2 linked regions of the Coturnix japonica genome follow. The protein of the gene in region 1 interacts with the protein of each later gene in a pairwise test. Links are inferred from orthologs where the notes say so. Each region holds a gene or a part of one and is shown in the gene's direction. Other genes may lie near its edges.

The links. The genes of interacting proteins can lie anywhere in the genome.
Region 2: the proteins of FIP1L1 (region 1) and CPSF4 interact in binary tests that used the Homo sapiens proteins (3 or more experiments, as listed by UniProt). The two-hybrid records come from large-scale screens. The link is inferred for Coturnix japonica from reciprocal best matches to the Homo sapiens genes FIP1L1 and CPSF4.

What each region holds. Positions count from the first base shown.
Region 1 is NC_029519.1:59,343,261-59,348,901, reverse strand, and holds part of FIP1L1 (pre-mRNA 3'-end-processing factor FIP1), read left to right. Parts: intron 1-945; coding exon 946-1,003; intron 1,004-3,090; coding exon 3,091-3,194; intron 3,195-5,334; coding exon 5,335-5,396; intron 5,397-5,641.
Region 2 is NC_029529.1:4,429,703-4,436,027, forward strand, and holds the start of CPSF4 (cleavage and polyadenylation specificity factor subunit 4), read left to right. Parts: upstream 1-2,097; 5' UTR 2,098-2,208; coding exon 2,209-2,311; intron 2,312-3,623; coding exon 3,624-3,674; intron 3,675-4,063; coding exon 4,064-4,216; intron 4,217-5,010; coding exon 5,011-5,106; intron 5,107-5,256; coding exon 5,257-5,350; intron 5,351-5,786; coding exon 5,787-5,859; intron 5,860-6,325. Other genes in the region: pentatricopeptide repeat-containing protein 1, mitochondrial, read right to left, coding at 209-427, 620-760, 1,511-2,097. UniProt on the Homo sapiens protein: Component of the cleavage and polyadenylation specificity factor (CPSF) complex that play a key role in pre-mRNA 3'-end formation, recognizing the AAUAAA signal sequence and interacting with poly(A) polymerase and other factors to bring about cleavage and poly(A) addition.

The sequences.
Region 1 (5,641 bases):
AACAGAGAACTGTCAAGTTTAGTCATCCTTGGTGGACTTTGTATCCACAGGTTTGCTCAGTTGCTTGTTTTTGAACCGAAGGAAAACGTTGACAGGCACTTACCTTATAGCAGTAATGCCTCCTACTAGCAGACTGCATGCAAGACCATTTTGAAGCTGCAAGTAGATAGAGTTGTTTGATTCCCATTGATTACTGTTGTATAAGAAATAAAGAGTTATTATCTGTTTGTTTACCTCCATTATATCTGCCCTGGATCATGTCTATCCCAGAATTATTTGGTTCTATTTGGAACCTATCCCATATCAATTGGTTCTTTGTGCTTGGTTATCTTTTCTTGATCTAACACCTTTTGTCAGTAGGACTGTTGATTAAGAAAATTAATTGTATGGCAAACAAAATGATCTATAGTGGTGTCTTATTCTAAATTCTGGTTATTTGGACCTTGACTTGGCTGTTAGCTGCCTCAGTATGTAGCTTGGGACTGAAAAGAGGAACAAATAGTTGCTTGCGTTTCTTATGGGTTGTGTCTGGAGACACGGCAACAGTTTTCCTGTTAAAGTTTTGTTCCCTCAGCTTTCAGTTTTGTCATTCTTACCAGTGAAGTTTTATCCAGATTCTGTAGATGTTATATCATTTTACTGGGTCGTGCAGTTAAATAGTAAAGCTTGAATCCCAGGGCCAGACTTGCACTGGGTTGGGCTTTGGTGCAGTACTCACTAGTGGGTGTTTTGCAAGCAAATGGAAATCATTCTGCCTTCCAGTTTCTATTCTGTAAAGTCAGAAAGTTATTATTTTTTTTTCCCAATTTCATGTACAAGGTAAGTCAGACTTTTTCTGCTCTCTGGAATGATATATTGGTGCTTTATTCAGCATTAGCTGATGTCTGGGATAACATGTGCCTAAATAACTAGTTTCATTTTTCTCCCTATTTGTTTTTGCTTAAGTGCTCCACCCCCACCTGGAAACGAAGAGGAGGCTGCAGAAAATGGCGTTGTGAAAACGGTACTTTTAAATGTGCTTTTGAAATACTGCTTTAATTTGTTTTGATTTATTGACTAATTGTAATTTAGCTTGGAATTAAAATCAAATGAACTCATCCATAATTGTACACCTTTGACTTTTGCAGATGGTGTTTGATGATATCTGCATTAACAATAAAGACTAGGAAACTCTATTTCCAGCTGCATTCCACTTCTTAAAACTAACTTACAGACAATAAATAAATAGTACTTATAAATGAGGTTTACAGTTGCAGTGCTGATGGATGGCTGCAGTTTACCATGAATGGGAATGGTTTGTGGCTTTTCTATGGAGAAGTAGTAATTGGTGAACTTGTTTCTCTTGACAGTGGGGCACTGAAAGACTGTCTTCCATCATCAGCTGTCATTTGCAGAAGTTCTATTTTGATTAAAATAATTGAGGGTTTTTCTGCCTTGATTTGACTCTTAGTTATTAAATACATTATGTTAATGCTGTACAGCAAGAATGAACTGCACTCTAACCTCTTATCTTCCATGCAGCTGCTAATTTTGGTCTAGTTAATGTACCAGGCAAGTTAGATAAGGACCAGAGCTCGACTGCACTTGGATAACTGCAGGCTAACCAACTTGGTTTCAGTACGTTTAGTGTCTTGCTGAAGGATTCTGCAAGTATGCAGAGTGGCATAGTCTGGTTAATCAGAAAAGTCTGGAAGAAGTTCTTCATTAAAGGATATTTAGAAAGCAAAGGAATGGCATGGATAATCAATGTGCAGAAGAGAGAAAACAGTGCAGAAGTAAAGGTTCCGTTTTCATGGTGGTGGTTGAAGATCACCTCCATTGGTGTTTCTCTAGAGTGTTGTACAGAGCCTGTGCTATTCAGTATGGTTATAAATTACCTGGAAAAGTGGTTAAGTTGTGCAAGTTACAGAGTTATTAAATATACGACTTTCTACAGGGGACTGTGTGGTTGATAAATGGTTGATGAAATTCTGTGTAGAAGAAATGTTCATGGGTGAAAAACAGCTTGCAAATAAATGATGGTTTCTGAGCTGATCATTACCACTTACGAGGAAGCTGCTCAGCTATGTTGAAAGGTCCATGAAAATGTAATTTTAACACTTCGCTGGAGTCTAGAAAGCAGTCAAATTTGGGAATGTAGCAGATAGTGATTAGCAGACCAAACAGAAGGCTATTTTGCCACTGTGTTAGTTTGTTTCTGTTAGACCTCAAATTCTGTGTGCAGTTCTATTCCTCTCGCACCTTGAAGGCTTTACTTCCACTGAAGAAAGTTGAGAGAAGCACAACAAGAGCAATGCAGGTTGCTTCCAGTAACAAATAACTGAGTAGGCAAGGGCTTCTCAGCCTGGGAGGAAGGCATATGTAAGGCAGAATAGAAGTTAGCAAATCACGTATAATGGCTGTAAGTAGGAATTGAGTTCTTACAGTCCCTTTTTTCTGAAAAAACAAAAACAAACCCACATCAAAACGTGGGGCTGGATGAACTGTCGGTATGAACTGGTATGACTGTTTTTATTTACCAGCAAGCTTGAAAGCCATGGGACAGAACAGAATGCAGTGTACTCTTGTAGCTGTTTTGTGGTGTTGCTTTTTTCCAGCCTGTTCAATAAAAGTCTCAAGTATTTGATTTATTTGAGGTTTACTAGTTTATGAATTGAATAACTTTACCTGAAGAGCAGTGTTCATCTATGATTGAAAAAGTGTTTTGAGTTGCTCTGGGTATATAACTGAGATGGCAAGAAGCTGGTGTCATGTATCTTCTGGCTCTTTCCTGAGTGACTGCAGCAGAACTGGTATAAATGAGATAGGGAGGGAGAAGAAAATACTGGATAGTGGAAAATGTTTTATGCCTATCTTGGAAATGTCATGTTTCAGAGACAGAAACTTAATACTAAAAATACTTCTCTATTTTGATCCAGGTATTTTCAATATTATTCCAAGATTGATAACACTGAAACTGAAGAACATATTCAGTTCTTGCTACTCAATTCTGACATCTGAGAAACAATTTTCTTTTGTTAAAGATATCCAGAATAGGTACTTTTGTCTGGATTATTTTTTCATTGTAGATTGTGACCTTTTCTTTTGTAGAAGGCGACTGAGGCTGAGGATGACAGCGATAGTGATAGCGATGATGATGAAGATGATGTTCAAGTCACCATAGGAGATATTAAAACAGGAGCTCCACAGTTTAGGTAAGTTATCTAAAAATACTAACTGGGAGAAAGTTTTAAGATTGCATTTTGTTATTAATTCAAGTTTTAATACCTGTCAATATCAGATTGTATGCATAGGTGGCCTTATTTTGTTTTTTCTTCTTTAATAAAATGTTTCTAGTGATGTAATGACTTGGAATAAGAAAAAAGTGAAATAAATGAAATATAAAGGAAGAGCCACTTTATGAGGTTGGTTTTTTCAGATTTTGAGAAATAATTGCACTGAATGTTTGTAAATTAAAGAGTTCTGTGTTATGGAAGAGCTATATTACATGATGTTTTTTGGCTCATATTTGTGACGTTTTTATTTTTGTTGTGAACGATGTAAGCACAGAGAACAGTAGATACATTTGTCCCGGGTATTATTTGTCATGGAAACACTTCAAATAAGAACTCTGTAGTTTCAATTTCTACTGATGCTCTTAAAGATTTTAATGTACTTTAGGATGCAGCAGCCAATCTCTGGGGATGATTTCTTTTGATCACGGTTTAGAGATTTGTACCATACAGTAACTGCTGTTACCTCGTGTTGTTTTTTTCTGCTCATAAAGGGTTTATTTTTTCATTGAATGCTTTTGAAAAGTTTTAATTTTATCCAAAATAATGAAATAGTATATTTTGTTACATAGAGTTTTTCTGAGGGAAGTTGTATGCTTTGTTTGTATTGGCAATCCTAGCGTTCTTATGCTCATTACAAGTTATTAGCTTGTCTTTTAAGTTAGAATTCCAGTAGGCATGCAAATAGGTCTGACTCACGTATGTTGTTATATCCCTAGCTTTAGAATTTGTAAGTTTTTTAAACAAAATATCCTTTCCAGCACTTTATATCCTAAAGTATCTACGCAAGTCAAAGTAATGTCAAAAATAGCAATTCTTTTAGTACTTCATATGTTTTCAATAACTTGCAGTATGCCTGTGGTATGGACACTGACCTCAAATTCTGTGAGAATAAAGCAAAGCTGGATTTATATTCTTGGTGAATTTACTGATGCTCATTCGATGAATGCAGAAACAATAAGCAAATGCTTCTAAATCTAATTAGAGTAGAAAGTTTTATATAAAAGTAACTGTTCTGTGTAAAATCACTTCTGGGCAAGTTGGGCAGAAAGTTCATGGAAGGGCAATCTTCTAAACCAAGCTCAGCACTGTTCATTTTAACTTCATAGCAAGTTCCTTCATACATATAACCTATTTTCTTATAGTTGTTTATCACAGTTTTGAAGAGAGTAAAAAAGTAAATAAATGAAAAGATTTGAGAAAGTCATGCACAAATACAGCATGGGAGATAAGGATGAATGCTCTGTGTCAGTTTTCTACTCTGCTGCATGATTTTGTATGAAGAAATGACATGGAACCAGTACTTTAACATATAAGTAGAAAATAGTACATAGTTTAATATGTTTGTGCGCTGATACCACCTATGAGGATAAGCTACTTTGCACACAAGTGTTTGTGAAAGTTAGCTCTTACTGTTCCAGGTAAATAATACTGTAATTCTAAAGCTGTTAATTCACTGTCTAAATGTCAGAATGCATTTTTATGATCAAAGCTCTTAGGTATTTTAGAAGATGAAATTGCGTGTATTTTTCTGCTGGTCACAAGGATAGGTAATTGCTAAAAGCGCACTGAAACAGCCTTTCAGTCATTTCAAAGAAACGCTTCTATTTTCCATTTCTGTACAGAGAATAAATGGAATTATAATAAAAGCAGCAAAAGGATATGTCTAAAACCTCTTTCCTTTATCTTGCTTTTGCCCTCATCCCCAGAGTGTCTTCTGTATCCCTAAATGAATTTTGTTTTTCCTTTTTCTCTCCTTCTGGTCCTGTTCATTTTTCTTTCTATCAAGGTCTTTAACCTTTCAACTCAGGAAGAGTGACTGGAACTTGCTTCACAACTGTTTATTAGTTGGAGGAGTTGCTACTGAGCATAGAAAGGTACTCTCTCTTGCTCCTAGGCTGATCTCTCTATTTTTACAGTTGCCAGCTTGGAAAGCTAGAGATTCAGGATGGCGATTGAGCCTGGGTCCAGTTTGTTTCTGGATCTAGCTATCTGTTGTTTTGTGTTTTCTTCCATTTTAGAGTTTTTTTCTGTCTAACTCACTTTTTAAAATTTCTTTAAGTTATGGAGCAGCACCTGTGAACCTCAATATTAAGACAGGAGGACGAGTTTATGGATCTTCTGGTAAGGAAGTTTACTAAATAGCTTTAATAAAATTGCAAAAATTTCCATAACAGTGTATAGCATGTGCTTGTGTATGCTTCTTTAGCCTGCATTTTCAGATAGAGAGCTCTTGCAAAAAGTTCCAGTCTAATGTCAGTTAATTAGAAAAATGAATGGGTTGTTTGAATAGTCATCTATTTCATTCTTGTTTTCTTGTTGAAATACGTTTGTCCATATCTATCCATATCTCTGGAGATATTCAAGAC
Region 2 (6,325 bases), on another chromosome or scaffold:
GCCTGTAGCTGCCTCATTTTATGTACTAGAACTTGGTAAGTAACAAGATAATTAATCGAATGAGACCAAAGGTCAATGAAATATGAACATCTGGTCAGTAATTATCTCTGCAAAAATGACCCCAATGTCATAACGCAATATTGCAACTTTAATTAGAGCTTTAATTAGAGCAGAATACACTCGATACAAGAAAAGTCATAATATTTACCTTCAGCACATCAAAACACATCCTGAGATCTGAGCACAGCGCACAGACTTTCAGCAGTGCATGGTAAGTGATCATGTTCAGCTCCTGGTTTTTGTCCTTCAGCTGCTGCCGTAGTTTGAGAGCACTCTGCAGGCCTGAGTCTTTCCATGGCGATTCAGCACAGGCATTGAACAGCGCTGTGTATGTGGGTTCAGTAGGAGTTAAGCCTCGCTTCTTCATCTAAGAGAAGAGAAGACATGGAACTAGGTTTTAGGAAAAGAGTTATTTCATAATTTGGTTTTAAGAGCTTCAGGAAAGGTGAACATTGGCTCAAAGGCATTTTGGAGAGAAAATAACACGACCAGATGATAGAAACAGATTTAGCTGAGTGAACCTAATGAAGGCTTGAGAAAAGAGAGAATGTGAACCTACATCGTTGTAGAGTCTGAATGCCTTTTTCACGTAGCCAGCCCTGCCACAGCCTCCAATGAGAACAGTGTAATTGATTTCTTCTGGCTTTACTCGCTCTTCCTTCAGCATCTGCACCTCAAACAGCTCCAGGGCCTCTGCCAGCTACAGAGAAAAGGAAAATGTTTTATGAAGCAACAATTCAGTTACAATGAATAGCCTTAGCTGTAGTCAGAAATCCTACAGAGCACAGAATTCCTCATAAATTCTTGTTTTCCTTCTTTTAATAATGATGATAATGAGTTGGAAAAGACCTCTAAGATCATCAAGTCTGATCTGTCAGTCCTTCAGTGCCACATTTCCACAGTTCTCAAACACCTCCAAGGATGGCGACTCCACCACCTTCCTGGGCAGTCTGTTCCAACACATTACCACTCGTTCCAAGTATGTTTCCTAGTATCCAACCTGAACCTCCCCGGCACAACTTGAGGCCATCACCTCACATCCTATCACTGCTACCTGGATCAGAGGCCAACTCCCACCACACCACAACTTCTTTTCAGAGAGCAGGAAGCAATGAGGTCTCCTCAGACCTTGAACTGCTTCCCATAAGACTTATGCTCATGGTTTTATTGCCATTCTCTGGACACACTCCTGGGCCTCCACATCTTTTTAGTAGCGAATGGTCCAAAACTGAACAACAAGTACTTGAGGCATGGCTTCAAAAGTGCTGAGTGCAGACAGACAGCTATAACAGGAGGCAGGAGTAGCAACTTTAAAGGCAACTTTAACCTCAGTTAAAGGCCAAAGGGACCTGATGATCACTTCAAGCCCCTCCCAAGCGAACCATTCTAATCCTAACAGCAAAGTGCTCGTTCACAAGCACCAAACGTTACTATAACCCCCAAATCCCACCTTGTCCTCCTTGATGAGGGCCTTGCACCTTAGGAAATACCAGTACGGCGTGTTCCTGCGGCCGTACCACAGCCTCCTCTCCCCTTCTTCCTCCCCATCCTCTTCAAGCTTCAAGTTCCGAAACACCGCCGTGGTTTTGTGGTAATATTTCCTATGGGAGAACTTAGCAGACAGCGTCCCGAACTCCACACCTTCATCATCATCATCATCATCATCATCACCAGCTTCGCCTTCAGCACCGCGCACCTCAGGGGGCGGCTGCGACGAGCTCAGCGCCCTCAGGCCACGCAGTGAAGGGAAGCTGGGCCTGAGGTACCGGAACAAGGCGGAGGGAAGCGGAGCAGCGGCCCGGCAGCACCGCCAAGGGACGGGCTGGAGGCTGAGGAGGAGCCGTGCAGGCCGCATCGCGAAGCGCGGCGCACACACCGCCCCGCCCCCTCGCGGCCACCGTAGCGCCACGGCGCATGCGCGGCAGGAAGAGGCGTGTTCAAAGCGGCGGCCGGAGCCGGAGGTGTTTTCCCGGCATCCTCCGGGACGGGCGGGCGGCGCGGCGCGGGTCGCGCGCGGCCCCATTGAGTGTTGAGGCGCTGCCGAAGAGAAGCAGGCTGGGTCGGGCCAGGCCGGGCCGGGCCTGGCCACAGCCGGCCCCAACCATTCCACCCCTTCCCACCCGGTGCCGTCGCCCCCCGGCTGCAACCATGCAGGAGCTCATCGCCAGCGTGGACCACATCAAGTTCGACCTGGAGCTGGCGGTGGAGCAGCAGCTGGGGGCGCAGCCGCTGCCCTTTCCCGGCATGGACAGTGCGTGTGGGCGCCGGGCGCGGCATAACCTCTATCCCTGAGCCGGGGTGGTGGGACAAGGATGGAGCCTAGAGAAGGGATCAGCCTAGAGAGAAGGTTGTGGGGTGACCTCAGTGCAGCCCTTCAGTACCTGAAGGGAACTTAGTGCCAGGAGGGGAGTAAACTCTTGGAAAGGGCTGACAATAGCAGGACACGGGGAAATGGTTTTAAGTTAAAAGAGGGAAGATTTAGGTTGGATGTTACGGGGAAGTTCTTCACTAGGAGAGTGGTTAGGCCCTGGAACAGGCTGCCCAGGGAGGTTGTGGATGCCCCGTCCTTGGAGGTGTTCAAGGCCAGGTTGGACGGGGCCCTGGGCAACCTGATGTAGTAAAGGTGTATGTTTGGTGGCCCTGCCAGGCAGGGGGGTTGGAACTACATGATCCTTGAGGTCCCTTCCAACCCGGGTCATTCTGTGATTCTGTGGTGGTGGGGATGGGGCTGTTCCGTGCCCTGTGCTGGGCTCCTCGTGTCCCCTCAGCTCCTGCTGCCCTGAGGTGCTGCCTTGGGCCGGGTGCTGTGTGTCTGTAGCCGTAGTTTGTGCCGTGCTGGGATGGAAGGAAAGTTGAGGCGTTCATGTGAATAAACACTGCTGTCCCACGCTGTTGTTTGATTGCCCTTTTGATAGGTGAGGTGTTTTGGTGGCAGGGAAGGTGTAGGTGTGTTCACAGTCTGGGATCTGAGCACTTTCCTGCATTAGTCTGGAGATGGGGGAGTCAGGGGAGGCCACATCATTCCCTACAACTCCAGAAGGACATGGTCAATGTGGTGAGAATGGGCTGGTTGGACTTGGTCATCATAGGGGTCTTCAACCTGTCCACTGATGCAAGTAGTCCTGGGAGACTCAACAGTTTGCTGACGTTCTGTGTCAGTGCTGCTGACCTCACATTGCTCCCTTGAGTGCTGTGATTCCTGTAGGTCAGTGAGGGATAACGCAGCAACAACTGGGTCAGGCTGATCTGCAGAAAAGACTTTGAGAGCCAGGGCTATAAACATGTTTCACTACAGCAAGTGGTTTAATAGTCATTGCCCAACCTGAAGTCTGAAAGGCTATAAACAGAACTGCAAATTTCCCTGCTGTGTATTCATTGAGGAGAATACAGACATTTGTGAAGGCCAGAACTGAACAAAGAATTCATGCAGGGATGTAAATTCCTCAAACCAAAATGCTGTTTCTCTTTTGAATTTGAGGACTCAGTCGTTTCTTCAGGCAGAAAATACTTTGGAAGCTCCTACTAAAGTTTGTTAACGTTTATTTTGTTTCTTCTTTCCACAGAATCAGGTGCAGCTGTCTGTGAATTCTTTTTAAAAGCAGCATGCGGGAAAGGCAAGTTGTATTTCCAGTACACTTACACTCGTATTGCAGGGAGGAGAAATAGATTTGCTGGCACGTTCTATGTTAATCATGGCTTTTGTTAACTCCACAAATTGTGTGGGGTTTGCTGTGGATGTGGCTGTTTTAGTGTCTATGGGTTGCGGCTGCTGGGATTTAGACATGGAGACTACAGTGCTCAGCTCATTAGAGGGTAAAACAGGACTTGTCTGGATGTCCTTGTTTATCGTTACCATTAAGAACTGAAGTCATAAGGAAAAACTGAGTTCTTCTGAAACCTCTCTTGTAGAGGCGAGTGAAGCGCTGCTGTTGCTGTGTTCCTGCTTGTACTGCAGAGTTTAATTGTTCCTCTTTTTCATTTCCCTTGCCTCATCCTTGTGCAGGAGGTATGTGCCCATTCAGACACATCAGTGGGGAAAAGACTGTCGTTTGCAAACACTGGCTACGAGGACTATGCAAAAAGGGAGACCAGTGTGAGTTTCTGCACGAGTATGACATGACCAAGATGCCTGAGTGTTACTTCTACTCCAAATTCGGTAAGAAACATTGTAGCTCCTACGTAGTGTTCCTTGCAAGCGTGGGAGTCTGGTGAAGAAGATCCTGGTACATCCTTCTTATTCCATCCTCAGAATATTTCAGTTCTTCCATGTCTGCTGACACTGTTCCATTGTAGTTTTTCAGGTCTGCTTAGCTCTTTTATCTTTTTATTCCCCTAAATTCGCCATGTGTTGTAGATGTTTCCTCTCTCAAGAGCTTGTCATGTTGGGGAAGAGGGAGGAAGTTCACATTGTTACTGGGTTTTGTGCTTTATGTTCTCTTTTTTAGTATGAGTTGAGTAGGCTGAGCAGTTGGTCTTTGCATGACTCTTGTTTTGGGGAGTTGATGAGCAGCAGAGGGCATGGGGGTGCAAAACTTTTATGCACTTGCTTTCCAGCTCTGGAGATCTGGACATAATGAGGCAACTTGCTGTCAGAAACTTACAGTCTTGTAGGTTTCCTTGGATTGAGGTTAGTGTGCAATTTGTAGTTTCTCCACACTTTTGGTGCACTAAATGTTTGGTTTTTGTTATCATGACTCTCTTCCAAAAATCAGTTTCTGCATTGTTTTTAAAAGCACACATAAATAATCCAGTCTGGTAGAAGTTCACTCACTAGGGGTGAGTGCTTGGTGTTCATCCTCTAGGTTAAGTCAGGCAATAAGACCGTTGTGCCTGAACTTATGAATGCTGGTAACAGCTTTGTGGGAGGTACATGATCCAGGTAACATTTTAGGAATTACTTGATCTTGAACCTGCATCATTAACTAAGAGATGCGTTTGCCTTTGGTACAGGGGAATGCAGTAACAAAGAATGCCCATTCTTGCACATTGACCCGGAATCTAAGATCAAAGACTGTCCCTGGTATGACAGAGGCTTCTGTAAACATGGTACGTATGTTGTGTTGTTGCTCCTGTGGCTATAAATGAAGGGTAGGGTGTTGCTATTCTTTCTTTGCATGAGCTGCTTTGTGTACCTGCTGCTACTGAATGTTGGAGCATGTATATATAGTACATGAACCATTTAACTTTGTGTTGCAGGTCCACTCTGCAGACACCGACACACTCGAAGAGTCATTTGTGTGAATTACCTAGTAGGATTCTGTCCAGAAGGGCCTACCTGTAAATTCATGCAGTGAGTTTGTTTCCAGGCTTGCTCTTTGATGATGTTTCCACTGTAATCTGATGCATGTCAAATGGGGGGGCTCCAATACTTCCCAGTGGTTCTGTAAAGATAGCCAACACTTAGTATAACAATCTATCTTTGATTAGAGGATGTGGTGTATGTCCTCCTTAGGGAGTTATCAGTAAGACACTGAAGTGCTTGGATGCCATGGTGGGCTTGCATGAGCTTACATTAGACTTTTCATTACTGGCATATTGTTCTTGTAAGCATAAATACCAAGCATAAGAATGATAACTGGGGAAAGGAGGTCTGTTTTCTGCGAGTCTAATTTAATTTGCTGAACATTTTGTTGTTTGGAGTTGTTTCTTTTTCTTACTGAGCTGATATGAAGGTGTTGGCATATAATTTGAGAATCTTTATTTCTCTTTGTCTCTGCCTGAAACAGCCCTCGATTTGAACTACCTATGGGAACCACAGAGCAACCACCACTGCCTCAGCCAGCACAAACACAGCAAAAGGTACACAATTCCCCTGCATCCTACACCCACCCACTCTCAAAGTGTTTTCCACAATACTTTAGAAGAGGCCATTATAGCAACAGAAGTCTTGCAGTTGCTATATTATAATGTGAAGATCTAGTCACAGAACACTCCTGTATAACAGAGAAGCATGCCATGTGTTGTTATGCAACAATCTGCCAGTTTCTGTAATCTGCATGACATCTCAGTCATGGCAATGATATTTTAGCAGCCCAAACCAATTCTCTAAAGCTGCTTTTCAGAGAAAAGTGGGATTGCTGGGGTTTGCAATCCATAGTTTTTGGTTTCTTCTCTCTGATGCTCCAGCTGGCAGATCACCCACACAGACTGGGAGGGAAACAGATCATTCAATATGTGGGGTGTTCTTTTCTCTTGTTAAGAAAATAAGAACTATAAAGATCGTTATCCTTGATGTACTTAATGAGTCAGAACTCTTCTCCTAACT